Cricetulus griseus: one gene and its partner. The protein of the gene in region 1 interacts with the protein of each later gene in a biochemical or structural test. Links are inferred from orthologs where the notes say so. Each region holds a gene or a part of one and is shown on either strand. Other genes may lie near its edges. The genes, in order: Tnks2 and Lnpep.

Region 1 (16,046 bases):
TGTATGCAGTGCCACACCCTTGAGCTCCAGTGCTATAACAAAGCAAGCTGAACAAGCCAATAAACACACTTCTTGGCCAATGCGTCAGTCTGGGCCTCCAGGTTCTTGCCCTGTTTCAATTTCTGCCCTGACTTTCTTCAGTGATAACTGTGGTGTGGAAGTGTTTTAACAAAAGAAACCCTTTCCCTCCCAAGTTGCTTTTGGTCATGTTTTTTGGTTTTTAAAGACAGGGTTTCTCTGTGTCATGGTGTTTTATCGCAGCAATAAAAACCCTAAAGGGAACAGTAGGTAAGATTTGGTTCTGGAAATGTTTAGTTAGAAGTGCTCAAGGGATAAATTCACAGTAAGTAGTAGGTTCTGTGGATCCTAAGCTCAGGAAACTGGTCCAAGCTGGAGACAGTCATTTTGGAGTACTGGCCATAAAGCCAGGCATGACTATTTAATGAAGCTCACTAGAGAACACTGATATTTTGTTATATGCATGTCTCATCTTGCGCCTCTTCTTAATTTCTAATTTAAGCAAAAGAATAACAAAGTGTACCTACAGTCCTTCCTCACTTCTCAAGATCTTTGCTCTGCCGTGCTCCATCAATCTCTACACTCTCTACTAGATCACTCCCCAGAATCCATCAACACTCTCTTCTTCCTGAACTCATGAGCTCTGCTCCTGCATAACCCAAGCTGTAAGGTTACCTCCCTTTCTTTTCTCAAATGCAGCCAGCTTCTGCTTCTTTCTCACAGCTGCTTTGGACAAGGTCATTTACAATGGCCACATTCCCACATCCAAAGGATTCTGTATTTGACTAGACATGCCAGCAATATCCAACAGCTCCCCATTCCTTCCTGCTTTAAATACTTTCTCCAAAGAGTTCAAGGAATCATGATCCAGGCCTTCTTCCTATCCCACTCATTCATTTAACAAATACTAAGAAAATATCAACTACGTACCAGATGCTTTTCTGGTGTATATGACAAACCAATAAATAAACTAAATCTTTGCCTTAAAAAAAAGTGTGTGTGTATGTGTGCATGCTCCTGAGTGTGTGTTTGCATGTACACACAGGGGCCCTTGGAAATCGGAAGAGGGATTTGGAACCCCTGAAACTGTAGTTATAGATGGTTGTGAGCCACCTCTGGGTGCTAGTAATGAATCTGGATCCTCCGCAAGAGAATCAAGTGCTCTTAACTTCAAAGCCATTTCTCTAGCTCACCAAATTTCTGCCTTTGAGAAACTTTTTTATTGGTATGGGGGAAAACAATAAACATAAAAAATAAGTATGTTAAGAGGTGATGAAAAAAAGGTCAGGATGATGAGTGCTTAAAGTATGTATGTGGGAGAAGACTACAAAATTGAATATGGTGGTCTCTGTAGCTACTACTAAGATGTTGACAAAGATTCCAACTTAATGGCAAACAGTGGGTCCAACAGTAGAAAAGAAATAGGAAGTAAAGCAAGGACACATAAAAACACCAGATGAAGATCACTAAGTTTGCCTTGTGATTTTTTAATACCATAGAAAATGGGAGTCACTACAGGGTTTTGAGCTGGTAAGTTACAAGATATGCCTTATACTAATCTGGTTACTGTATTAGGGGCTAAGTAGGGTAAAGTAGATGAGAGATTATGATAGCTTCTATTTCATAACCTGATAGTACTGCTCAGAATGATGAGTGGCACATTTTGCATACTCTGGGGTAGAGGGAACCAGCACAGCTTCCTAATGGATTAGATGTGGGGTGAGAATAAGGTAAGGTGGTGAGAAAGAGCAAAAGTGAGTGGGACAGAGTGGAGTCATGCATGACCCTGAGATGTGGGAGAAGTTTCTTTTTCGAGGTGGTCCTCTCATTTCTACTTCCAGCAGGCTTTATGGCACACACCAGACAAAGCTGTTCTTTTATCTTTCATTTATCTATTTTCTAATACTATAACAACCCAGCAAATATCAACAAACTGTTAGACACTGTATACTGTGAAGGACACTTAGCATGCTGGTTAGGTTTTTGTCAACTTAACACAAGCTAGAGTCATCAGGGAATAAAACAAGGAAATGCTTCCATCAGACTGGCCTGTAGAGCCTACAGGGCATCTTGTTTTGATTAATGATTGAAGTGGAGACTCCTTTGGGTAGGGCCACCCCCGTGCAGGTGATCCTGGGTTATAAAACAAGCTAGCTGAAGGAGCTGTGTAGAGCAAGCTAGTACACCAAGCTTCCACAGCTTGTTTTAGTTCCTGCCCTCCCATCCCTTCTTAAGCAACAGTAATGTACAAGTGTAAACCAAATAAATCCTTTATCACAATAGGAAGCAAACTAGAATCCTGGGGAAATAACAAAGATATTCATGACTTTTTCACTTCATAGAATTAAGAGTCCAGGACCTTAGTTAGTTCTACGTCACACATCTGTGGTTTCTGTCTTTGGGAGGCTAAGGCAGAAGGATTACAAATATAAAGGTACCGTGTACTTAGTGACTCTGCAAACAACAAAAACTGCACACCATAAACACAACCACCCACAGAAACAAACCAAATCAACAAAACAAAACATAACTTCACTCTATTACATTACTGTTCAAAACAATTCACTAGTTTCCCATGGATACTCAGACTAACACTCAAATACTCCACAGTGAATCACGCACTGTTTCACGCCCTCTCCCCCTCATAATTGTGATCCAGCTTCCTTTGAGTTTATCAAGTATGTTGGGATTTAGTAAACACGGTCTTCCCACTCAGAGAGTTTTCTTTTGAATGTACAACCCTCATTTATTGTTGTCTATTTAAAAGTCACCACCCAAACAAGGCCACCTCTGACCAGTCTCCATTCCTTTACTAAGATGAAAGTTCCTTAAGAGCAAGGAATGTGTCATACATACATACATACATACATACATACACACACACACACACACACACACACACACACACACACACAAACACGCACGCACGCACACACGCACACACGCGCGCGTATGGTTTACTAATGTGGTCTGTATCATCTGTCTTTCTCTGTATATAGTGTCTCTATGTATCTGGCTAGCTTCATATTCAAGATCTTCCTATCTCTGCTTCCTAGGGCTGAGATTACCAACATGTACCACCAAATTCAGCTCCTGGATGCTAATTCCACAAGAATTAATATCTGTGAATGTCTTAGTTCATCATTATTTTCCTGGAGTCCTTCAGAGGATGAGGTGTTTCATAGTTTGTTGATGTTTGCTTAATTAATATACCATGGCATGAGAAAGGAAGCTAAGAATGAAAACTAAGAATGGTACTGAGAAGCCAAGAAGGAAAATTTCAAGGAGACAGTAAATTTACTGCTTTTAGGTCTGACTCTGCTACCACCACCTCGGCTTTATGGATATTGTCTTCTACTATTGCCCCTCCCATCCATTCAGTACTCATCTGGAGGAAATGCTTTTAGAAAATCTTCCTAAATTGGAGAGTAAGAATGAGGGTATCTCTCTTCACTGCAAAGTCATTTAATATAGCCACCTTTAGAAGGATCCCTATTTCTTCACTGGTAACAATCATTAATAAAGACAGTAGCATAAAGAAGGCTACTTCTCATTAAAAGAACTTGGTGAGTATAGCAAAAGCTAAAGTAGGATGTATAGTTGTTAATGTTACAAGAAATAGTATCAAGTGGGAAGATATCTGTTCCAAAGTGCTAGTGACTAGCTGAAGGTCAAGTTGTTAAGTATCTGGCAAAATACCACTGAGAAAAAGGGCTGCTTGAAGCCAGAATTAAAGGGGCACTGACTACAGTTTTACCTGAGGAAATACAGGTAGAATGAGTGGATTGTGTAGATCCACACAGCTACCATATTCCAGGACACTGATGTCTTCTATGCCAATGATTTTCTACCAACATGATTCCCTAGCTATCAAAATGTCTAAAATCAGTTTGGAGACTGAGAGTAGAGATCTGCATGCTTTTAAAGACACACGGAACAACTATAATACATGTAAGTGGAATTTGCTATACTGCTCAAGATCAAGAGCCTGAAATTTTGAACATTTGAAGCCACATCCTAACACTAAAGCAGTGGTTCTCAACCTTCCTAATGTTGTGACCCTTTAATACAGTTCTTCATGCTGTGGTGACTCCTAGCCATAAAATTCTTTTCATTGCTACCCATAACTGTAATTTTGCTACTGTTATGAGCTGTAATGTATAATACAGGGGATACACACACACACACACACACACACACACACACACACACACACACACACACACACACATTTCATATATCTGATATGCAACCCCTGTGAAATGGTTGTCTGATCCCCAAACACAACTCACAGGTTGAGAACCACTGCACTAAAGGATATCATTTAGAGTCTCAGAGGTATTTTCAATAAACTTCCCACTGCTGGGAAAACATATGCATATAAGATGCATCACAGTCGGGCATGACCTCAGCATTTCAGAGGCAAAGGCAGAGGGATCATGAGTTGAATAAAAGCCAACATGTGATCTAGCCTCAAAAATGAAAACAAACAACAATAAAAAGATGTTTTCCAAATTCTCATTTCATCTCTGATGAAATCCTCATTCTTAGGTTCTCAAGAATGGCACAAAGCACTTCTGATAAGTAGCAATTTCTTGGGGGAGGGGAATGTTTTACAGCTACATTTCTATCTGTCCTCACTGGCAAGGTAGACATAAGAAGATATATCCTAAGAGCCAATGCCAACCTCCATCTTAAATTTCTTTAAAATAAGGAAGAGGGCTTTGTCCACCTTGACTTGGAGCTGGTATACTATCCAGCCAGACTAGAAGAAATGTAGAAAAGTATATCATGGACTGTGAGAAGATAAAACCCTGACAATCTGAATAAGGGAGGATCTGGAGGAGTGCTCCAAAGTAGAAGTTACTGAAGCCAGCTCTCCACGCTAGGTCCAGGAGCTAAGATCTTACATTATAAGACTGAACTGTTGAGCAGACTAATAATTAATCAGTATTGTAGTTTCTATTGTAAGATTTAACTACTGATTAAAAACTCCTTCCTGGAAATAGTGAGGCACAATTGTAGTAACAGGCAAAGAGTGTATATGTTCTGTGCATCACTCATAATTATGTTAGAAATGGTATTAAAGGGTTTGGAGTGATGGTTCAGTGGTTAAGAACATTTATTTTTCTTGTAGAGGACCCAAGTTCAATTCCCAGCACCCATATCAAGTAGCTTATAATTGCTTGTAACTCCAGCTCCAGGGGATGGCCTTAACCTCAGGTACATGCACATATACAATCTCACACACATATACATGTTAATGAATATTTTCTTTTTAAAGAAATGGTGCCAGGCAGCAGTGGAGCATGCTTTTAATCCCAGCACTCAGAAGGCAGAGGCAGGAGAGATCTCTGAGTTCAAGGCCAGCCTGGTCTACAGAGTGAATTCCAGGGCCGCCAAGGCTACAAAGAAAAAAAAAATCTGTCTCAAAATAAAATAAAACGGGGCTGGAGAGATGGCTTAGAGGTTAAGAGCATTGGTTGCTCTTCCAGAGGTCCTGAGATCAATTCCCAGAACTCACATGGTGGCTCACAACCATCTGTAATGAGATCTGGTGCCCTCTTTTGGTGTGCAGGAATACATGAGGAGGAACAATGTATACATAATAAATAAATCTGTAAAAAAATAGAAATGGCATTTAAGGATTTTTGAGATTTTGTTTTGTCTTTTTTTGAGATGGGGTTTCTCTACTTAAGTCCTGGCTGTCCTTCAACTTGCTCTATAGACCAGGGTGGCTTCTACTCTCAGAGATCCACCTGCATCAGCCTCTGGAGTGCTGGGATTAAGAGTCTTGCACATGTGAACATGGTCCAGTCTTCTTTCATCTTTAGAAATCCAGTTTTTTTCTATTGCCTGTATGATAAACTATAGATGCTCTTATTCCACTTTCTTCTTATAGGAAAAAAATATCCCTCTCTAAGCAGTTCACATTTTTATTTTATTTGCATTGGTATTTTGCCTGCATATATGTTTGTGTCAGATTTTGGAGTTACAGACAATTGTGAGCTGCCATATGAGTGCTGAGCATTGAACCAAGGTCCTCTGGAAGAGAAGTCAGTGCTGGTAACTGCTGGGCCATCTCTCCTGCCCATGCCTAGATTTCTTAAACCTCAGCCATTTTACATTTCCCTATACTGACTGACACTTTTCTGCATACTCTCAGGGGGCTTGGAGATGGCTCAGTGGTTAAAAGCACTAACTGTTCTTCTACAGAACCAGGGTTCAATTCCTAGCACCCACATGGCAGCTAACAACTCTCTCTAACTCCAAGATCTGACACCCTTACACAGACATACACTCAGGCAAAACACCAATGCACACCAAAAAAACACGTACTGTATGCATGTGCAAAATACTTAGACAATAAAAAATATTCTCCTTTTACAAAAAAAAAAAAAAAAAGGGAGCTGGAAAGATGACTCAGTAATTAAGAGCACCGGCTGCTCTTCCAGAGGACCTGGGTTCAATTCCCAGTGACTATACCGCAACTCAGAACCATCTGTAACTCCAGTTCCAGGGGAATCTGATGCCCTCTTCTGGCTTCCAAAGGTACTGAATGCACATGGTGCACATACATGCAGGCAAAACAACTATATACATAAAATAAAAATAAATCCTAAAAAAATATTTCAGATTCACAACTATGGAGTTCTACTCCATGGCAAGGAACACTGAATTTTGTCTACCATGATGAGCACCAAAATGACTTTCTCCCAATGTCTCCATCCCCCATTTTCTAGAACAAAAGTTCAAAGTATAGTGTTGTTGATCAGATGGGATTTCAATGCCAAAAATTTCATACTTTTAGAGTCCAAACCAACTTGTTTGTATACACTCTGTGGTCACCAAAAAAAGAAAAAGAAAAAAAGAAAAAGAAAAAAGAAAAGGAATTCATGCCCTGTATCTATTTAGATGGGGGCAGAGAAAGAATAGAAAAGGAAATTGTTTTCTGTTGTTTTTTTTAGACATGACTTCTTAAAAATTGTATTTATAAGTATGCAACTTAGTTCAACATGAAAAGCAGCTAACAGAAGAAAAAATTCTATATATTTATCTTAATCACAAACAGAACTTAATTCCCATAAGGGCTGACAACTGACTAATTAAACTAAGGGTTTTTTTTGTTGTTGTTGTTTTGAGGGGCATGTGTGGAAAGACAAAAGCATTTTTCATTTTCCGTAGCATTCATACCTCTCATTCCTACTGACAAAGCATGCCTTTCCTGCTCAATTAAACCTCCAGACCTTAATTGACTACTTTATTTTTTTTTAAAATGAGGTTATTTCTCCAATCCTGTAAAATATAATCACAAGTAACTGCTTGGTCAGGCAATTACCAAGTACCACCACCTACAGACAGCAGACCAAGCATCCAATAGTACACTTACATAAACACAAGTGGTAACTCACTACCCACAAAGATAATGTGGGTGGCTATACTTAAAAATAAATAGGGCTGAGAATGTAGCTCAGAGTTAGCAAATATGTCTAGTAGGGTCAAGGTACTGGGCTCAATACCCAGCAAAGGAAAACAGAATTAATCAGTGCCTCATTAATCTAATAATTTGGATTTTTAAAATGTACAAAGCCAGCTGGGTGGTGGTGGTGGTGGTGGGAGCAGCACACACCTTTAATCCCAGCACTAGGGAGGCAGAGGTGTGTGGATCTCTGTGAGTTCGAGGCCAGACTGGCCTACAAAATGAGTTCCAGGACAGCCAGGGTACAAGACAGGGTTACACAGAGAAACCCTGTCTTGAAAAACAAAAACAATTTACAAAGTCATCTCTCAAAAGACTCCTTATTTTCTAGTGTCTAAATGAAGGACTTTTGAAACTAGTTGAATATGAATTCTTTATTAATTATTTTTATTATTCTGTGTGTATGCCATATACACATGTGTGTGCAGGAGCCAGGTCTACGGCTCTCCATCTTACTTTTTAAGACAGGGTCTTGCATTGACCCTGGGGCTCACTGACTGTAAGGGCTGGCTAGTAAACCCCAAGGATCCTTCTTTTTCCACCCTCAGGAGCTGAGATTATAGGCATGCATCAACACAACTTTTTTTTAAATGTGGGTGCTGTCAATCTGAATTCAAATCCTCATGTTTTCAAGGCAAGCACTTTATTCCACTGAGCCAACTCCTTAGCCTCCTTAGTAATTAATTACTTTATGATTTGCATTTTATATCTTAATTTCACAACCCTAATACTGTCTATATAGGTGAATTACAAATTGTAAGTCGGTCCCTATGCTATTTCAATTTCCATTTCAATCTGGACAAACAATATAAAATACATGTAAATATGCTTTGAAATTTTGGGACAGGCACTGGGTACACTCTACCCTATTCAGTGGTAGAACACTTGTCTAGCATATCCAAGGCTTTAGATTCCACCCTTGGAGTGGAGGAGTGGTATGTTGGGGAAGAACTGAGGGTGGGATGGCATAGGAGCAACAAGGTCACACCATAAACCCACATCTCTAAATCCTACTATTTTCAGACATGAACTCACTAATACATCAAATTCTTGAAAGGTGGCAACTAAGATCGTCCTTGGCTATTTTTATCAAGTGAACATAATCTAAGTAACATTACCCCTTTGGATTATGTAGCAGTTGGTTGTGACCATTTGCCAAATAGGTTGGCTAAATGGTCAAGCAGGACAATTCAAATTAGCCAAAGAAAGGCAACACTGCTAACGAGAGATTTGGCTTCGGTGCATGTTTTCCCAGTGTCCACAGGCTTTTCCAGTTTGCCCAACTGTGGTTTTCCCAAACCTTTCCCTCTTAGAAAGGCCCCCAAAGGACACTCGAGTAAGGAAACATGATTCATGACAGCACGTACATTTTAAAATGGGGGCAGGTCAAAGCAAACAGACTACAATTGGTGTAACTGTAAAAGCAATGTCTGAGAACAAGAAAGTCTTTTTCATGCTCTTCTGTCCATCATTCCTGCCCTAGAGGAACAAGAGTACTTTAAAATGTTTCTTTTTTTAAAAAGAACCGCTAAACAATCTTGACGCACACTATAAGCAAATGTTACCAAGCCGTGAGGACTTTTTCGATTACCCAAGGTTCAAAAGGTTAAAGAGTTACCATCTGTCCTTAACATGAGAAGCATAAAAGGTTTAGTCAATACGCTGGCTATTTTAAATACCTCAACAAACTTAAGCACCCTGGTATCATAAAGAGAACCCAGTAGTTAAAACTAATTTCAAACTATCTAAAATAAATCTCGGGATGACTCAAAATGAGTCTCAAAATCCTAGATCCAAGCTCAAGTGCTTGTTCCGGCTTGTCTCTCACTTACTTTCCACCCCAACTTGTGAGTGTATATGTGTGTTTGTGTGTGGCAGAGGCCACCCACACTCAGCCTAAGTAGATCTCAGGGCTCCCAAACCTGCCTATTTCCGGTTTTAGTCTCTCCAGAAACCTAAACCAATTAACTCTAATGAGTCAATAGCCAATAAAACAACTCCTGAATTACATTTTCACAGTTTAAGAAGGCCGCTAGAACTAAAGGGATTGGTAAGCGTTACGGTGAAACTTGCAAAGAAGGGTGAATTGTTGAGATAATCGCTCTTTCAATTCACAAGGTCTACTAAGCCTTGTGTGCAGAGGCCCTACAGGGTAGCAAGACCGGAAGTCGGTGCAGGTATTGTTGATACAGTAAAACAAAACAAAGCACCCCCCTCCTCCACCTTCAACAAACCACACCAAAAAAAAACAAAAAAACAAAAAAAACAAAAACCCATGCCACAAAAACAACTTCCCCAGAGCACGCTCACCCCACCCCTCATCACGAGCCCCAAGACAAGAGCGCGAGATGGCCGTGGTGAGAGTCCCGGGGAAAGGTCGGAGCCGGGGCAGTGCCGCGCGGCTCGCGGCCTGCAAGCCCGAGCCTGCAGGTGGGGCGTGCGGGAGGGAGGCGACGCGGGGCCGCCGCTTACCTGCGGCGAAGTGGAGCGGGGTGGACTTCCTGCCGGCCGTGTCGCGGCTGTTCACCTTCTCGGGCGTCACCAGCCTCTTCACTCGCTCCACGTCCCCGTTGCGGCAAGCCTCGAACAGCTCGCGGGCAGACGGCTCTACGGCCTCGGCCACCGCATTCGCGCAGGCCGCGCCCCCGCCGGCGCAGCGGCGACCAGACATGATCCGGGCCGCCGCCGCCGCCGCCAGCAGCAGCGCCAGCAAAGGCAGCAGGAGCCCCGGCCCCGCGAGCAGGAGGGCGAGGCCCCCCGCAGGAGACGCGCTCAGGGCCCGGGCCGCTTGGCTCCCCGCTGTCACCAGAGCCGGCGCAGTCCCATGGCCGCGCCGCCGCGCGCCCCCCGCTCGACTCCGTGACCCCCGGCCGCCCCACCGCGGCGGAGGCAGCGCGAAACCCGCCCGCCGAGCCCGGAGCGACGCGGCGGCGGAAGCAGCCGAGACCGCTTCTGCCAGCTCCGGCGGGTCCCCGGGAGCGCGCGTGACGTCAGCGCGCGCGTGCGCAGTGGCCGCGCTCCGGCCGGGCCGGCCTGGGCGAGCGGGGCCGCGCGGAGGGGTTTGTGGGAAATGTGCGGCTCTCGGGAGCCTTCGGTGGAGGGAAGAGAAGGGGCTTCGGCCCACCGCCATCTTTACGGGGCCTCTGCCGAGGACCGGAGGGCTCGCTCGCTCGCTCTTCTGTTTCTCAAAGCACAGCCCTCCCGAGATGAGTTTCATTGCTCATATCCTGGAGATGAACCTTCGCAAGTTTTGTTCCTGCTGCCCATGCGTTTTCTTTTGGAAGCCTTAGCGTGGAAAATGTCTGTAGTTTTGCTTCCATGCCTTCCCATGGGAGATTCCTGCTCCCACCTCCTCCCTCTCCCATGTTCTTTACAGTGTCTCTCCGCTTAACCCTCGGCATCGGATTTTGTTTTTCTTACAAGCCTCTTCTCAGAAACGGACTCGTTGCTCTTACGGAGAACTTGGGATGAACGGCCCTAAATCAAGAAGGCGACGAATTCTAAAGCAACAATTGCGGGGTGGGGTGGCTCTGATTAGCTACATTTCCCATAGTAAATTATTAGCCCAGTGCTGACTAGAGAACCTATATATAAATCAGGATTGTTACCGGATGTGGCCAAGGTGCCGGTACACTAAGCGTGCACATCAAGAAAGTTTCCTGAAGTTCTTTTTTTTTTTCTCTCCCTGTGATCAAAGAGTACAAGCGCACAATTCATTTTTGTGTTTAAGGTAATAGTGACATCTTTGTGTATGACTTTGTTTCAGAAACCCGAAAGAAAGGTTGATAGAGATTTTGCTTGTGCTGAAAGTGCTGACCTTTGTCATGCTGACAAGCGTTTCCCCCTGTGAATTGACTTAACCTGTTTTTCAGGAAATCCAGTTTTTGTTTGGGAGTGTTGACTCACCGCTGTGGGAGAAAAGCAGGGTACTCTTTTTTGAGCGTTTTAGTAAATGGGAGCATTGTTGTATGTGTTTATTCTAGAATCATGTTCTTAGGGTATTTAGTGTACATTTAAATTGATGCATCTTAATAAAAATAAACATTCATGAACATACCAAAGGATTAGAACACATACTAATGATTGTGTCGAATTTTTCTTCATTTCATCTACTTGCCAAATATATTCCCAATTATTTTTTTATTTAATAATTTCTGCTTATCTATATCCTCCCAGTATATCTTAAGCAACATCATGCTGGCACAGCAAACACTTTATCTACGGATGATAAATAAAAGACCCAGAGACTGATACTGGGGTCAAGCTTCAAGCCGAACATCAGAAAAGCAAAGCAGCCCACCACCAGCTCTTCTTACCTCTACCTCAGCTCAGACCAAAGGATCGTTCTTCAGACTGCTTCGGACTTCACTGCTGGGATTAAAGGTGTGCATCGCCATACCTGATCTCTATAGCTTGAGGCTGGCTTTGCTTTCTGAATCCTCAGGCAAGCTTTAATAAATCATAAATGATGTATCTCCTACGCCTAACATTTTTAAAAAAGCATCATATGATTTCTAGAGAAATGCAGTTGAAAAGCACATTAGGATGGCTATTTTAATGCAAACAAAAATTAACAAATGTTGATATAATAGTACAAATTAGAATCATTTTTCATTCTTGATGGGATCATAAACTGTCCACTCATTTTAGAAAACAATCTGGCAGCTCCTCACAAAACTTAACATATCAGGACTGGAGAGGGGACAACTCGGTGGTTAAGAGCACTATCTGTTCTCCCTAGGACTTGGGTTCAGTTTCCATAACCATAGCTCTAGTCTCAGGATCTGTTGCCCTTTTCTGGCCTCCCCAAGCACCAGGCATACATATGGTGCAGACAAAAATACCAAAACATAAAATGAATTGGTTAAGCCACTTTAGAAGTCAGTGTGGCGGTGTCTCAGAAAACTGGGACTCAATCTACCACAAGACCCAGCCATAACACCAGGAAATTTGCAGACAAATGGATAGAATTAGAAATAATCATCCTGAGAGAGGTAACCAGACGGAGAAAGATAAACATGGTATGTCCTCACTCATAAGTGGATATTAGCTTTAAAGTAATGCTACAATCCACAGACCCAGAGAGACTAGTTAACAAGGAGGGTTCATTGTGTGTGTGTGTGGGGGGGGGTGCCCGGATTTCCCTGTAAAGGGAAATAGAGATTTCATGAGTGGATTGAGGGTGGGCAAGGATGGGAACGTAAGTCATCAGGGTGTGTGTGTGTGTGTGTGTGTGTGTGTGTGTGTGTGTGTGTATGTGTATGAGGGGGGAATGGCAGAGAGGGAGAGTACTGAAAGGGGTATTTCGGGGTCAGGTAAAAACCTGGCACAAGGGAATCTCCAGGAATCTCCAAGGAGGACACTAGTTAAGACTCCTAGCGATAACAGACATATATGTAGCCTGAACTGGTCATCTCCTGGGACCAGATTGGTGCCTAGCCCAAATGTTATCAGAGAGGCTTCATCTGGCAACTGATGGAAACAGATGCAGACCCACAGCCAAACATTAGGCAGAGTTTGGGGAATCCTGCAGAAGAGGGAGAGAAAGGATTGTAGGAGCCAGAGGGTCAAGAAAACTCACAGAATCAAATAGCCTGGGCTCACAGAGACTGAACTGACAACCAGGGAGCCTGCATGGGACTGTGCATATATGTTACAGTTGTGTAGTGTAGTCCTCTTGTGGGACTCCTAACCGTGGGAACAGCGACTGTCTCAGGCTCCTTTACTGGTTTGGGGGACCCTACTCCTCATATGGGGTCACCTTGCCCAGTCTTAATACATGGGGAGGTTCTTAGTCTTACTGTGACTTGATAAGCCATGCTTGGTTTTGTCTCATGGGAGACCTACCATTTCCTGAACAGAAATGGAGGGAGAATGGACTGGGGAGTAGAAACAGAGGGGGCGGGGAGAATGGGAGGAGAGGAGGGAGAGGAAAATTCAGCCAATTTAATGTTAACAAAAAAATACACATAAAACTAGCATCTGATGTACTTCTGGGTGTATATGGTGAAACAATCTGAAATCAGGACCTCAAATATTTCCACAATCATATTCACCATATGATTGATTACTCACAACAGCAAAGAGGCGCATGCAGTCCAGTTGTTCCACGAGGGGATGACTATGAAATGTGATAAATGCATATCGTGCTTTAACTCTCAGCCTCCAGAAAAAAAAAAAAAAAAAGGGAATCTTATTGGGTGTCCCAACATAGGTGGTTATCGAGAATATAATGTTAAGTAAGATAAAGCAGCTAACAAAGACAAGAAATAGTTTTACTTCTTTCCTTCAGAGAGCAGCCTTAGCAAAATACCACAAAACAGATGGTTTAAATACAATTTTCTCCCCACTACATGCACACGTAGGTGGAGTTTTTCTGTGTCCCCACAGTCACCCCCAAATAACCACACAGAGAATTATTATTGATTATAAATTCTCAGCCAATGGCTTAAGCTTGTCTCCAGGCAGCTCTTACAACTTAAATTAACCCATTTCTATTAATCTGTGTGCTGCCCCGAGGTCTGTTTACCTCATCTATGGACTTCCCATGTTACTTCTTTCGAGTCTGTAGCTCAAGACTCCTCAGCCAGACAAGGGACAAGTTGAGGCTACAACAGAGATACCAGGATGATCCAGATGCCCAAATCACAGGTCACCTGTTGAGGAAAGCTGTGGACACAGAGTGGAGTTTTCTGAGAGAGAGGCTGCGGATGGCAGAGCTGGAGGGGAGAAGCCACCCAGCCCTTTAGAACTCGGGCGATTCTATCACAAACCCACGATGTAGGATGTAGAGCTACAGAAGTTGGTGTTCACCCTGCTGGGTTTTATTCTTGTTTTGTCCCTAACTTTTCCTTGTTATGTCCCATTTCTCCATTTTAGAACAGGATGTTTATTCTATGTCACTGTGTATTGGAACTTTGTAACTTATTTTTTTAATGTTATAGGGGCCCATAGTTAGGAAATTGCACTGAATCTCAGAAGAGATTGGACTTAGAAATTTTGAACAGTGTTAGGACTCTTAAAGTCCCCTGTAGGGACTTTTTAGGTAGGAATGAATGCATTTTGAACCATGAAATGGCCATAAGGCTATAGGTACCAGGGACAGAATGTTATTTGAATGTGAAATGTCCCCCATAGGGTCATGGATTTGGACATTTAGTCTCCTGCTAGCAGATAGGGTTGATGGTAGAACATTTAGGAGATGAGCTCTCACAGAAGGAAGTGGGTCACTGAGTGTTGTGGAAAATTATTTTAGGGCGTGTTGCTTTTGTTTATGCTGCATTTGCTTAACTCTGTGATGCTGTGATTCTTTGCCTGTCTAAAACACCTGGTGGTCTAATAAAGAGATGAATGTCCAATAGCAAGGCAGAAGAAAGGATAGGCAGGGCTGATAGGCAGAGAGAATAAATAGGAGGAGAAATCATGGAGGAGTAGGAGGAAGGAACAGCAAGGCCAAGGAGAGGAGGATGTCAGGGGCCATTCACCCTCCCAGTCAGCCGTGGAGTAAGAGTGAAAGCAAGCTATATAGAAGGAAGGAAAGAAAAAGTCCAGAGGCAAAAGATATACTGTTACGATAAATCTTTCCGCCAAAAGCCACCGAGCCCCGCCGCCACGTGTGCACTTTACGCCAACTGCCCACCCGAGTTAGGGCCCAAATTAATATACAGAACTTGTATTAGGTTCAAATGCTGCTTGGCCAATGACTAGGATTCCTCATCTGTTAGCTCAGTCTTAATTATCATAAATCTATATATTTTATAAGACTTATCTTATAGAGGATGCCTTCATTTGGCACCCTCTCTTGCCGGTGGATCACATTGCACCGCTGGAGGAAGAGTAGAGGGGAAAAGGGACATTTTCTGTTTCTCCTTGCTTAAATATGAGTCTCCTTGCTATGTCACTTCCTGCCTGGATCACCACTTCTCTACTACATTTCCCAGAATCCTCTTTGACTCCTAGTCCCGTCATACTTGCCGTCTCATTGGCTCACAGTATTTTATTCAATAATCAATAAGATGAACATACACAGTGCATTCCCCATCCGTAGATGGGATAAATTAAGAAATGCTGGCAAAAAACAAACCAAGATTAGGGTGGGCCCTCATAACTAAGAATAAGCCTCCGTGTGTGATTTATTTGGGAGCTGGGTGATAGGCCCCCAAAAGAGCAAAGAGCCAAAGAGAAAAAAGGAAGAAAGAAAGAAACCAACAACTGAGGGTGTGGCTTTGAGTTTATACAGTGGCCCTACTTTCTGGTCTTTTCTCTGCTTCCTGACTGTGGGTGCAGTGTGACCGGCTGCCTCTAGTGACAGTTATCATGCCTTCCCCACCTCAATGGACCACATCTCACAAACTGTAAGCAAAACAATCCCTTCCTCTGTTAAAACTATTTCTTTTTAAAATTTACAGTATTTTTATTAAGTTTTGAGAGTTTCACAAATGTATACATTGTACTTTGATCATATTTACTCCACAATCCTAACTCTTCCTAGAGCCACCCCAACTCCTTCCAACTTTGTGCCCTCTTTTGCTTAACTTTGTGCCCTCTT
Region 2 (15,265 bases), on another chromosome or scaffold:
CCATGGTAGGTGGTACTATCCCTAGGTTCTATTAAGAAAGCAGGCTGAGCAAAGCCCATAGAAACAAACCAGTAGCAGCACCCTTCCAGGATCCTGCCCTGTTTGAGTTCCTGTTCTGACTTCCTTCAACAATGAACAGTGTAAGTCAAACAAACCCTTTCCTCTCCAAGTTTCTTTGGATCATGGTGTTTCAGTACAGCAATAGTAACCCTAAGACATGATATAAATGACTTTAGAAGTTTTGAACAATAACATGTTTGTGAATAAATTAAAATTATGGCTATAATGATAGTACTGTTGAGGGGTCTAGTTAAATCTACGTGTCAGATGTGGTACTCATATCTGACTGATTAAACTGATTCTACCAAACTAGCCCATCTATAACAAAAACAGAAGCAGAAAGCAAGGAAACAAAACAAAAACCTCAAGTAAAGCATGAAGCAGCCAGCATTTTTCACAGCTGGCCTATAATTTTCCAGATAATTCTGACATTGCTAAGAAGAAAAATTCATTTTTTTTCCAGACCAAATAGATCTTTCACTTTCTGCTAAGGAAAAGAGAAGTTTAATGAACGAAAAGTGAAAATATAAAAGGTAAAAACCAAATTGGGGGGTGTGTGTGCTGTTATGGGTATTGAACCTAGGGCTTGGCTAATGTCCAATAAACTGGACTATATCCTTAAGTCCTATTCTTCCTCTGAGGCTTTGATATCAAAGCAGACTTCAGTAATAAACAGGGCATAGATAATAATCTACAGTCATTGATAAAAATCAGTTTATTAGTATAACTCTACTTCTTTATTCCTGAGTCTTGTTAAATAGACCTACCACCTAATAGTATAAAAATAGAAGCTGGATTTCAACATCTTAGAATAGAAACATCCTTCACTACCTTCCAAGTTTTGAACTTCTGGTTGCAACACCTGCATAAGTTACTGATGTCAGCACTAAATAGAAGTGCAAAGTAAAACTGTCTTCCACTGGCTCTGTGATCTAGGTCAATCACTTAACCTTTCTGAGACATACTCTCATCAGAGGTATGGGGCTAATGATGTGGCCATCTTTATTTTATAAAACCCAATGTTTAGAAATGAGTTACTAGCATACCGGCTAGCACAAGGTATATCCATTTCCTAATAAAAAAAGGAGAAAAATAGTAAAACTATTGTTTATTCGTGCTGTTAAAATATGTTTACTATAGGCAGCACTAAAAATGAGATTACATCTCTGGTGTGTAAAGATTAAATGATATAGTTACATATGGAAAAAGGGAATGTGTACCCATCTATGCATATATGATATACATGAATGGATTTTCTTCTTTGTGTGTGTCTGTATATATTATAGTCCTGAAAAATGAGGTGTAGAGGAGATTAGAATGCACATCTAATCCCAGCCTTTAATCCCAGCACATGGGAGGCAGAGGCAGGCTGATCTCTGTGAGTTCAAGGCCAGCCTGGTATACACAGAGTTCCTGGACAGCCTCCAAATCAATACAGAGAAACCCTGTATCAAAAAACCAAAAGAAAAAAAAAACAAAAAACCAAAAAACAACAACAAAAAACCCCACCCACTTCTGATGTATAGCCCAGCACCTAAAATTTTTTGAAAGAGTATTCATCTCATTTTTATAGCCAATATGATAATCATTAGCCACACAAACTACTATAACTCTTGAAGTATGGCAAGCAGAGACTCATGGTACATTTTATTTTAGTTTAAACCTTAAGAGCTATATAAGGTTACTGAACATCATATTCTACAGTACAGTTCTAGAAATGTTAGTGTATTATGTTGTATTACTATAATTCTCTTATAAAATAGGAAATGTGAAAACTATTGGCTTTTAAGTATTAAATAAATAGCAGTAAATAAGAGTTAAGTTTTGTGGGATATTTGATTGCACTGTGACACTGAGACTGTGTTAATAAAGTTAACCTTGAATCAAGGGGTAAAGCCAGTGACTAGTCAACTACAAGAACTAGTCATAGAGCTTATGGAGGACCCCAAATACAATAGAGGCACAGGAAGGAATAGGGAGGGACTTGGTGATTCAAAGGCTTTTTGGACTTCCTTTCTGGTGTAGGAAGTATGGAGAGAAGGACAGATGGTCACTCCTCCACCACTTCTTTAATCATGTTTTCACCCAGTATCTGACTCCCAAGTCTTTATTGGTAATAGAGCAACTCAGATAAACCTAACAGTTAAGTAAGAGTAGCATTTCTGTTACAGAATGTCAGAATCTGATCTAAAGGCTTGTCTTCCTAAGGAAACTACCAAGAAACATTGAAAGAATTCTTCCTAGGTTGCTATAAGCAGATTTTCAGACAATTAGAATACCAACATACCAGGGTTCCATTTACATCCTGACTCAGGTTCCTCATCTCCCCTACAATGAAAGCAACCAGGTACGTGCTCATTTTCACACTTTCAAAAAACTCATCCTTAATAAGTCCTTCTTCTGCAGGGACTGATGACTTCTATAACCAAAGGAAAAAAGATGACAGTTCTGTAATTAAGGCAATCAATGGCAAATATACTGAAAAACTAAAAAAATCATGTAGGCAGTTAAGTGGATATTTTAGTCTTTCAACACAAACTTCGAGAGAGCAAAGCCCCTTGTTTCAGTTTCTTCTACCACCCTTCATCAAGAGGAAACACTGAGTACAATGAGAACCCTAACATGGCTCTCAATAAATTTAAGTTACAGGGAACAGTGGTTTTTAAAAATGTAGCAAAACTCAAACCCTTCCAACCACCCCAGAACCTTATGATAACTGACTTCAAGAAGGAACTGTAGCTAAGATATCCTTTAACGTTATCTAGTGCTCCATAGAGAACCCCCAGGAAAACATAGTGGAATCAAATGTGCTAGGTCACTAGAGAAGTCTGAAACAGACTGAAAGTGGAGAAATGCCAGCAACTCTCATGATTTTCCAACCATGAATCAGATTATGCTTTGGGTTATTAGACAAGTAGGTGCCCACCTCTTTAAGAGTTTGGCTATGAGTAGGATTGTGACAATGCAAGAACATGCTGTCTACTGTCTAGGGGGCAGATTGCATTACCTGCTGACTCTGGCTATTCCTCACCCTAGCTACACAAGTTCTGGGAAGCATCACATAGACCTCACCTTGCTGTTCAGGTATACGCAAAGGGAACCCTAAGTTCTTTTTAGCATAAAACTCCTCTGCTTGTTGTTACCCCTAATACCTACCCCACAATTAATACTCAAGAAAAAGGCTCCTGTTTTTGTTGTTCATTTCCTCATGACAACAATCCAAAGTTTCATTTGCCAAAACACCAAGAATAATCACAATTCCACACTCTCAACACTGCTTAGAAGAGCAACTTCGTTATGTCTCAAGTAATTTACTGGGCTTGCACTAGTTCACAGTGTTAGTATTTGTGCAACTGTAGAGCAAGAAGACACTTCACACCTCCTGCCCATGCATTCTAATACCTGGGGGGGTCCTTTCTTTCCTCGAGTGATCCTCAGACTGACAAATCTTCATTTTTACTTAACTATCTCAGAAATATAGACACATATAAACCTAAGTATTCCTACCAATAGTACAGTAAAGAGAAACCCAACTGTTCTCAGAGACAAGCGATCCATCCAAAGATTTTACTTCATGTCACAGTACCTTAGGCATATTTGATAATGCAATGTGATGCTCATTCCTTGTAATCTTGATGATAAATGTGGCCTTAAATGCTGGTTCATCAAAACAGGGAAAAGCAGATCTTGCTGCCAGAGGTTCAAACTGAGTTGCTGCAAAGTACCTAAAAACAAATGTAAATTCAATACAATAGTTATTGAGTGTCTACTAGACAGGGCACCATGCCAAGTACTGGGGGTGTGAAGACAAACACATTACAATTACAAAGTTTAAAGGACCCCAATTAACTAAGAGAGACAGAAGTCAAGAGTGTACACCATCTTCTAGCAGGGTTTAAATCATATCCTAACAGTGGAAGCACATGAGTAGGATCAAATAGCATTAAACAAATTTTGCTGGAGTTAAAGACACTGTAGAGAAACTAGTACAAAGTCTGAATTGGTCCTTGGACACCAAGAATACTTGATAAAGTACAGAAGGGGAACAAAACACTTGAGAAAGAAGACAGCATAAGGGAAGGAGGCAGTATGTGTCTATAAAAGGGGGCAGCTGCTAAGTGTGATGGTATTCAAAAAGTAGCTCCATAAAAAGTTTTCGACATAAAGTCCGTAGAAAGGATTGCCATTAATTGCTACTAAACACCTGGGTTTACAACACTGCATTTCAACATTCACTTTCACAAAAATAGAAAAGTTGTTCTTTAACAGTACTCTGCATTCCTTTTACTTTTCAGAGATAAACAGAAAGGATGATCTCCTTTCCACACCACAACAGCAGCAGACAAGGCTATACTACATACAAAGAAACTGAATTACAGGTCATATAAAAAGCACAAAAAAAGAAGCAAGGAAGATTTTTAATCAAGGAAGAAAGTGGATCTCTATGTGGAAGACTACACAAACGGAGTATCAGGCAAAAGCACTTTCTTGGACTTGCTAATATACCAGCCACAGGCACTCTAGTCATGACACCCTCTGTTCCTCAATTCTTAGACTCCACTTTTAGAAGATAGGCAGAAAACAGAAAATTGGATTTGGAGTTTACATTGATTAGACATATGATTCTGGATTCTGTAAAGTCTGTAACCTATATATATATAATTATGATTGAGACAGAATCCCCTGCACGAAGCCCAGAGTTTTGTTAGAATCCAGTAAAACTTTACAATAAAACAAAACATTTATATACTAAATAGGTGGTTCTATATAGATGCTTATTACTAATACTAAGAAACTACAAATCTTTCCCACAATTAAAATCATTATTATTATTATTATTATTATTATTATTATTATTATTATTATTATTGTTTTTCAAAACAGGATTTCTCTGTGTATCCATGGCTGTACTGAAACTCACTCTGTAGACCAGGCTGGCCTCAAACTCACAAAGATCCACCTGCCTCAGCCTCCCAAGTGCTGGGATTAAAAGCATGTGCCACTACTGGCCAGCTGAGACAGGATCTTAAATAGCCCAAATTTACCTCATATTCATTATGTGCGCACACACACACACACACAGACCCTTCTCTGATCCTCCAGCCTCTACCTCCCAAGTGCTGGGACTACAAGTGCATTCCTTCATGACTGATTATATATCCTAACATTCTAAGAAAAACTAAAACAAAACAAACAAAAACAACCTTAAATTATTGTTAAAGTAATATAACTATTTCACACAAACATCTCTGAGAATGCTGCTTTGAAGATACAATGTCTTCTCTATTCAGAATACTTCATGCATATTCTTTCTTTGTGACTATGTTTGCTTTCAGAAAAACTTGTTACAGATTTTCCTCAAGTCTATTTGAAGACAGGAATTACCTGGAAGTCAAATAAGAGAATCCTAAGCAATGGCAAAAACAACCTGCAAAGGCAAAGTGTGAACTGGAGAAGCAGTTCAATACAGTGGTTATGAAACAGGTTTGAGTTCCCTCTCTGCCAGACTATTTCTTACGTACCTTTTTCCTTGGCTATTATAAATACATTATCATTTCTTAGTGAGTTTGACAAGGTAGAAGACTAAAGAAACATAAAATGCTCTAAGCAGTGTCTAGTGTTTTAGTTCCCAATAAGTACTGGCTACTGTTATGCTTAGTTTTAGGAATACAGAGCTCAACATGATAGGGGAGTAAGAGCTGTGAGGAAAAACAAAGGTCAGACAATGAACACCTTCAAATTATTAGAAATAAGAACTGCAAAAGGACCGTACACCAAAGGCCAGCATGACCTTCCTACTAATGGAAACAAGTGCAGAGATAAGAATAGGCATAGATTACATTTATAATAGTGTGGAAAGTAGGTAAAGTTTCCTGATCACAAGCAGGATCTATTCAAAGCATCAGACATTATGATTTTCTAGGCAACAAGAGCGTTGGTGGTATAATGGTGAGAAAAGGTGCCTTCCAAGCAACAAGAAATGCATCCCCCTAATCATTTTATCAGTTTAAATATTTATTCTAATTATAGTGGGGGTTAGTATAAAAGTATCCAGTAAAATAAAGTAAAATTGTGAGACACACACCCACACAAAATTTAATATTAGTAGTTTTCAGATATTGTGAAAGTCAGAGTGATTTAAACTTTTATCCTCTATCAAGATACACAATCATGTGGGGCCTTCACTGTAATTAACAAGCAGATAAATAAGCTTATATTCTGTTTGTTCCAATATTTCAGCTTAAAATACTATTTTGAATTCTCTACTTCTTAGTTTTAAGGGCCTACATTTTTCTAGCATGCACCACAAGTGAACCAAGAATTTACACATGCTTATCCTAAAAAAATCACTGGTTCCTACTACACAGCATTCATTCTTCCCATAAAAACCAATAGTTTCAAAGATTCCAGGTTTCCAATCTAATTGGATGAGATAGCTCTGGGGCTTAGAGTTCTGTTTGCAATATTAAGTCACTGTGTTATAGTGTGCATGGTGTGTCTGTCTACATGTCTATCTCTCTATATATGTGGATCTTTCTACATTAAAAATGTACAATGCAAACCAGGGTGCAAAATACTGTAGTTCCTACAAAGATAACAAAGATTACAAACCAATAACTAACGCTAAACATTCCAAGGCTGCCACTACAATCACAAATTTGTGTTCAATTTAGATAATCATTCAACAACTGAAATATAAAGGCAGCATGCTATTTGTTTTAAAAGCATATATAAAAGAAAAAGTTTATCTGACATTCTTATTAAGTAGAGGTTACTAAAATATAACCATGTTTCAAATTCAAACTATCAGTATAAAACCCTCAAATATATGTGAGAAGCAGATGGACAATTTGATGTGAAAAGAAAATTGTAGCAGCTTTTGATGATTCTTAATTCCCAACAGAGAGCTGCAGCCTTGTCTCAAATTTTCATCCAGTACTTGAGTGTTTTCTGATGACTGAGAAAAAAAATGTTTTTTTTTTTTTTCTACTGTTCGGAAAAAAGCTAAGAGAGAAACATCCATTCTATAGCAAATTCAATGTCTTGGGTAGAAAAAATAAAGAACTAACGTGTTCTTTTTATTTTCAATTAGTAAAATTACTCTTTTAAAAAAAATGTATTTTCTTCTTTGAAATCCATATAGAAAACCACAGTTGTCAAAAAAAAAATCTATAACCAAACCAAATGTTGGGTCCATCAAACAAGAAATAAAATGTATGATTGAAATTACATATATTTAAAAAATTATTTACTTTCAATGAACTGAAAATTAAAAAAGACTCTGAAACATTGAACAAAACAACAACAATATATTAATATATATTAGCCAACTGGCCAGTGTAAATAATTCCTTAACTGGTCTACAGAGTATTATGAGTATATTATGTAAGAATGCTCTACTAACATAAAGCACATATAAATGGCCTTTGTGCACAGAGATGAAATTATCATTACTTATGATTATAATGGAATCATTATAATATACACTATCTTTCATGAAACCCATCTATGATATGGCTAATAAAATTAAACAACAAAGTATGATCCAAATAGGCTGTAGAATACTCTTACACTGTATATCACTTTTTTTTCTTTTTTGAGATGTGATTCTTTCTTACACTTTTAAAGAGTACACAGTCAACCTGGTATTTTAAAAAGTAAACCAGTAAAGATTAAGAACATTAAGATGATGTGTGTTTATATGCCACCTCTCATACCCTCTTTCTCCAACTCATAAAGTGACTCCTAAAACTTCTGCCTGCCATCGGGGTAGCCTGGACCACTCACTCTGCCTCCTACAGCCTCAGGGAAGGGTAGCACTATTCATCACATAAAACATGAAAAGCTCAAGAAAAGTTTGTTAGTTTGTAATAGAGAATATAATCTTCCTTCATTCCCTTCCACCATACACTTCTACTCTCTTCCATCACAATACTCACTCGAAGTTCTGCCTAAGAGAATTGTATATTCTTGCATTTTACCATTCTAACTTGAACATAGCTTCCTAAATTAAAAAAAAAATATGGTGTGGGCAAAAGAACCTGCACTGTGGAAGTCACATGCAGAAGAGCACAGAATAAGAACCATTTAGGAGGTTTACATACTTTTTCTCATTACTTTTATCTGTGTAGGTGATGCCATAAAATCCATAATAAGAGTTAGATATATTTGCAGAATACTCTATCTTCAAGGTATAGTTGTGCCCTGCTAGAAGGGCTTCAGGGGCAACAATGGCAATTTGTTCGTGATATGGATATTCCAGGACTTCAACTTGTTTTTCTTGACTAGAAACTGCTGACATAAATGTCACTCTTGAAATATTATGTCCTGTGCTATGGAGAATGATATTCCATGTGGCTTGAAGAGCCTGAAGTGAAATTGTCACAGAACCCTTGAATGTCATTGAGGTTAGGTTTGGATGTAGGCTAAGTTCATAGCGCTGAGGCATAATGGCAGTGGGAAGCCTAATTTGTGCCCATGGAAACAATTTCCCATTTGTGGCAACTGGCTGAATTAGTCCCGTTGACTGGTTTTTTTTGTGGCAGCCTTCTTTGGTAAAGGTACATCTAGGCAGTAGATAAATCACCATGATTACAGAGACAGCAACCACGATGACAAAAACACAGACCACTAAGGTTCTGGCAGAGGGTACTGAACAAGAGCCGTCTGGACTCTGCCTGTAGCCCACTGCACTGTTTCGAAGTCCTGAGCTTCTGTTCATAAAGGACATGCCCAGCAGCTTTGCAGATGACTCATAATCCTCTTCATCCTCATCCATCTCATGCTCACCAAGACCTCGAACCAGTAGCCTTGAACCTCGGGGCTCATATTCCACTTCATCAGGTTCCAGTGGATGTAAACAAGGTTCTTTGGCTAAATCTACCACATCTGGTTCTTCTTCAAACATGCTGTTTTCAATCATATTCCTTGGAAGCTGAAGTCGATCTACAAATATAAGACACAAAGATAAGACAGGAGTGGGGGAGAGTTCACAATGCAATGTTTCTTGGAAAGACCAAATTTAATGTTTTTTTTTTTTAATCACTAAGACTTATTTCCACCTTAAAGCTATTAGAATTAAATAGAGGCTTTATGGAATTCTTGAGTTGTTCATTAAAAATCAAGAATATATATAAAAGCATACTATAGTCATGAACCCCCAAAACAAAAACACTAGTAAATGGGCTAATATTAATGAAAGATAGTATAAAGCTAATTGTTTTTCTGTCACAGATTTTTTTCATTGTTAGTGGTCACTAAGTGAATAAAAATATATCTGATAGTGAAAAAGAGTGGCTATTGTATCTGTATAGAAGCTTACTGAAATGTACACGGATTTTAGGCCTGGGTAATTTTGGTGTGTGATATTTATTTCATTTGAATTTGTTTTCTGTTAATAATGAAAGTAAAGAAATTTTTTTAAGCAGATGTGATTTTATAGTACTTTCTTTAAAATGGTACCACCCAATCAATACCCTGGGTTCCAGGCTTGACTTTAGAGTATGTCACTCTGGCCATCTCTGCCCATGTATGTCCCTAAACAGCTAGGATTGAGTGGGGCCAAAAGGATTGTAGTCAATGCCTTTCTTCTGGGTCTGGACACTTGAAGCCTGGAATTCTTGGCCAAATACTGCAAACCAGGTTGTAAGGCCTGTGTGGGTCTTCTTCCTGAGTCCCACTCTATCCTGGGCAAATTAAAGATGGGTCTACCTGCTTCTAGGCTTAAGAGACAGCTCATCAAGAGAATGGGCTATTGTTTCCCTCAGGAGAAGGATGTTTTTGTACGACAGTACACTGAAAGAGGAAAATTACTTATAAAATTTTGACAAGCAAGAAACAGTAACACGGACAAAAAAACTTACAAAACAGATCAAACTGTAGTTCAAAACCTGCCTTTTCGCCCTTGTGTACCTTTCACCAGTACAATGTTTCCCATCCTTAAAAACAGAATGAACGAGCACCATGAGTGTCAGCATATCTTGAGTCAGGAAGTGGTGGGAGCTCTTCTGAGCTACACTCCTCCCATTTGCCAAATGTCACTGAGGAGAAAGGTCTCAAGAAGCAAAGGGGTAAATAATACTATGTATCTATCAATGACTTAGAATTGGGACAGTCAATATTTTGTATTAAAAAAATCACATCTTGTAAGGGATTTTAAGAGTTTAACAAATTGAATCATCTTTAACTTGTTCTCACAAGGCACTTTACAATTAACATTTCTAATCTGCACAGCAGTTCTATAAAGTGGCAAAAATTAAGTCATGGGCTGGAGAGATGGCTCAGAGGTTAAGAGAACTGGATGCTCTTCCAGAGGTCCTGAGTTCAATTCCCAGAGACCACATGGTGGCTCACAACCATCTATAATGGGATATAATGCCCTCTTCTGTTGTGGAGGCAGAATGTTGTATACTTAATAAAAAAAATAAATAAAATCTTAAAAAAATTAAGTCATGAAAAAACAAACAGAAATGGACTGACAATTTCAAAGCCAGAGAGATATTTACTGGTAAAATTTATATTTGAGCCCAGATTCTTAAAAAAAATGTTTTCAAATTTGAATCTCATTAGTGTACTACATCTTCTGACCCATGTTAATTTAATGAAAGGGAAGCACTTTTAACAATTTGGTATCTGGCAATGAAATTATTAAAATATTATTCATCATCAGTAGAATAAGACTGACATTAGCTACTTAATACCCAGAAAAACATAGTGGGTATATATATTTAAATTAACATATCAAAATCCCTGCAAAAGCCTAATTTAAACAAATTTTCTTGAGCAGACACAAGGCCTGCTATATTCAAATAAGGCTGTAATAGTTAATAAGCATTGCTCTGCTCAATGACATACAAAATGTGATCCATAAGAAAACAAAAGTCAGCTGCTGCACTTAACTTTAGAACAGCTGCTGTAAATATGTCCCAAAGAATAAGGAAAATGGCTTTAAAAAGTAAAACAGAGGACTATGTCAATAGATAAAACTTTCACCAGAAAAACTGCAACTAAATAAAAGGGACCAGAGGCTGGGGAGATCACTCAATGGGAAAGAATACTTGCTGCCAAATCATGAAGACCTGGGTTTAAGTCTCCAATACTCAAGAAAAAAAAAAGTGGGCATGTAACCCCAACACTGGACAGAGAAGACATGCTGAAATCAGGAGCTTGCTGGCCTGTCAGCCTAGCAAAAACTGTGATCAGGGTGCAAAGCATCAATGCCTGGAAGCTCTGCAAAGAAACCTAAGGGATCAAGGGTAGAGGCAAGAAACATCTACAGCAAGCAAACTGCAGACCTTAACAGCAAACTGCAATCCTTAACAGAAACAAACAAAAGAGAAAAAAATGAAAAAGTCATTTCCTGTAGAAAAGGAACAAAGTTTTCACCTGGACAAACAAAGTGAAGAACTTCCATCAGCAGATCCATATACTAGATAAAAATTTAGTCCATTAGCTAACATAGCAACTATGTATATTTCAATCTACAAGTAAAATGTTAAAGGAAGATTTTTCTCTATGGCTTACATTTTTCATTAGCTTTTAGAAATCTCTCTTTAACATGATCTCAACACAACAAACCCAGCTTGGTAAAATTATACCTACTGATGAGCTTGTACCAAGATCCTTAAATTCATGCCTCATGAATACATACCAAGGTCTTACAAAATTTTCACCAAGTAAGTCCACAAGAGAAAAGTATCAATTACACAGGGATATATGTTGGAGAATGTTTACACACACACACACACACACACACACACACACAGAGAGAGAGAGAGAGAGAGAGAGAGAGAGAGAGAGAGAGAGAGAGACAGACAGACAGACACACACACACACACAGACACAGAGAGAGAGACAGAGGTGTACATAATTTTTTTAAAGCCTGCAAGATGCCTACTGTGTAATAATGTTTGCTGAACAAACCTGATGACCTGCTTGATTCCCAGAGCCCATGGGATTCAATGGGTACAGAATGGGTACAATGGCACATCCAAGGCAAATGGGAGGCAGAGACAGAAGAAGCTGGTGGGTCAGACAGCCTGGACTGCACAGCCCAACAGAAATAACACAAAACTCTGACTCAGTGCTTCAACAAGGTGGGAAGAGATAACTGACTCCTCAAAGCTGCCCTCTGAACTCCACACTTGTGCTTCGGTACATGGACAGCTGCATTCACACACACATATACTACGAAATACTCACACTTTCATACAAACAAAATAGTAATAAGTTAACTTAAAAAAAAAAAAGTGTTTAGGGGCTGGTGAGATAACTCAGGAGTAAAAGGCTCTTGCAGCCAAGCCTATGACCTGAGTTTGAACCTTGTGTCTCATCACAGGGTGGAAGTACTGAACCAAACCAACATGCAAAAGATGTTCTCTGGCCTCCACATGCAACCTCTGCTCAACACACACACACACACACACACACACACACACACACACACACACACACACAATAAATGTAATAAATAATTTCACTGAATGTTTATAGCAGTATTTTCATGAAGGAAGGAAGGAAGGAAGGAAGGAAGGAAGGAAGGAAGGAAGGAAATGACAAAAGACTACTCATCCTTTTTAGTCCTATATCTGGGGCTGGGTACTTAAAAAAAGAAAGAAAAAAGATTACTTGGCTCATAGTTTTAGATCTTGCTGAATCCAGAAAGCATGCAGCTCTGATTAGCCTCCCTTGAGTGTATCACCTCATGCTGGATGGCACCACAATGACAAAAACAAAGAGGAAGACAGGAAGACAGCCAGAGCAAGGGGGTGTTAGGCTCACTTGTTCTGTAACAACCCCCTCAGCAGTGCTAACTCAGAATTCCTGGAAAAGTACATTATTCCCTTCCAAGGACAGTGCCGTCAATCACCTAAAGGCCTTCCACAGTTCTACCTCTTAAAAGTTCCATCACCTCCCAACAGCACACTGAGAAACAAGTTCCCAGGAATCTGTGAACCTTTGGTGGACAAACCATAGAACAAAGCTAATTGTTTAACAGCAGTAGATGGGTTTTACCTTAAATATAGAAACATATTCAAAAATACAGTTTAAAGGAAGACAAACAGGTTACAGAATTTTAAATAAACATGTATCCAGTAGGATACAATGCAAATTAAAAAAAAAAACATTAACAGTGGTTATTCCTGAAAGATAGAGCTTGGGTATGCTGGATATTTTTATTACCCAATTTTTATTTTATAAGTAAATGGAAAAAACTTTCACACATATACACACAATGTTTTAAGCATGCTAACATAGAAAGCTCATGAATTAATGAAAAAGCAATATTGTTGGCTTAGAGAGAAATCAGGAAACCTATATACCAGGATAGTACTTGCTGTTTCTCTTTTATGGGATCTCTTATTAGGAAGTGGAATTTCATCTTTACTATTTAAATTTTTATAGTCCTTGTAACTTGGTTTAATAAATGAAATGAAGCAGAAAGACTTTGGCAGAATTTTTAATGCTGGGCCTTGGGAAGCTATGTAAACTTTACTATTCATTACTACTTTTACAGTTCTATGAGAAGGAATTCAAGCTAGCTAGCTTCCTTGTGGGTGGGGGAACCACATTAAAAAACATCCGGCCAACAGCCAGCAGCCACTGCCAGATTCACCACGTGTGAACCTGTCTTAGAAGCATCTAGGCTCAAGTCAAGGTGACAGCCAATGACTTCAGCTTAAGAGTGACTTCAGACAAGAAGAGCAGAAGAAACACTCACCTAAAAACCCAATCCAAAGTGTTGAGCTAAAGAATCATTGCCAAGTAAAATGGTTGTCTTAAACCATAAATTTTAGAAATTCTACATCATAACATATGATCTCCTTATCCCTTATATATTTCACATAGAAAGCTCGTGAATTAATGAGCTTCATTTCAGTATTATCATCATTATTCATCAATATTTCAGTGATCTTATCCTCTGAGGAATTCGAGCTCTACACTGAGCTACATGTCCCTGAAATAAGAACAAATTTTCCCTGAAGACAAACATAAAGCACACTGCACACACTAGTTTACAGTTCCATGTCACATCTGAGATGGCAATGTATGCTGGGCCCCAGACTCAACTCAGAAACAGGAAACAGAACATTTGTCATTAGAACAATTCCACACAAAAACTCCTGTATACACATGTAGGTTTTTCATCCTAAGCCTAAGGAAGGGGTTTGATGGGTATGATTTCATTTATCAACAAAACAATCTTACCACCCTACAAAGGATGGTGAGCAGCAACATTTACCAAAGGTTCTCTCACACAATAACACTGGATTGAGCAACAGATATAACAGAAGGCTAGCTAAAAACCAGTCATTCTGCCACTGTGTATGTAACTCTATCATTGTGGTATATTTTTTATAATATATTAAAATCAATGGGAAGAAATATCCCACTCACTAAGTCACATAAGACATAAAGCATTCAGAACACAACCTATCACATTAACAAGTACTTAATAATTAGTCTCATGTATTAATGACCAAACTTTTATATGACATCTCACTTCTCAGTCATAAATATTCGAAAATGTTTCTTTATGTTGTTCACTAAGTTTACCATCTTACCAAGCAGAGGCAATAAGACGGACTTTCTCTCTCTCTCTCATTAAAATTAAGAAATTAGAACTGGACGTGGTGGCACACACTCTAACCCCAGCACTTGGAAGGCAGAGGCAGGTGGATCTCTGAGTTTGAGGCCAGCCTGATCTACAGAACAGCTGGGGCTATGGAGAGAAATCCTATCACAACAACAAATAAACATCTAGTGTCTCCTGTACCGAAACTTCAAGTTTGCTGTTAGAAAACTAAGTGCTATTATAAGAAAGCAAACATTGGGATCTTAAATAAGCCTTTAAAGAGAACCCAAGAAATCTCATGCATTAAACAATTAAATTTGTTGAAGGGTATTTACTAAAAATGATAGGAACAAACATTTTTATAAATAATTATTTTTAATTTTGAGATTATAATTACATTATTCTCCCTTTTCCACTCTTCCCTCTAAAACTTCCCTATTCTCTTAAATCCACAGCCTTCTTCTTTTCATCGTTGACTTACATATACATATTATACATACATACATACATACATACATACACATACCCTTAAATATATAAATACAACCTGCTCAGTCAGTAAACTTTAAATTCTCTACAGGAAGATGAAAGTGAAACAATTCAGTCCACACAGGCTTAGCATAGTGATTG

Evidence for each region.
Region 2: the proteins of Tnks2 (region 1) and Lnpep form a complex in vitro, tested with the Homo sapiens proteins (4 studies listed by BioGRID and IntAct, with this or other methods). The link is inferred for Cricetulus griseus from reciprocal best matches to the Homo sapiens genes TNKS2 and LNPEP.

The regions. Positions count from the first base shown.
Region 1 is NC_048596.1:24,940,139-24,956,184, forward strand, and holds the start of Tnks2 (poly [ADP-ribose] polymerase tankyrase-2), read right to left. Parts: upstream 10,454-16,046; 5' UTR 10,170-10,453; coding exon 9,971-10,169; intron 1-9,970. UniProt on the Homo sapiens protein: Poly-ADP-ribosyltransferase involved in various processes such as Wnt signaling pathway, telomere length and vesicle trafficking.
Region 2 is NC_048595.1:295,751,514-295,766,778, forward strand, and holds part of Lnpep (leucyl-cystinyl aminopeptidase), read right to left. Parts: intron 9,007-15,265; coding exon 8,166-9,006; intron 3,786-8,165; coding exon 3,647-3,785; intron 2,480-3,646; coding exon 2,348-2,479; intron 1-2,347. UniProt on the Homo sapiens protein: Release of an N-terminal amino acid, cleaves before cysteine, leucine as well as other amino acids. Degrades peptide hormones such as oxytocin, vasopressin and angiotensin III, and plays a role in maintaining homeostasis during pregnancy.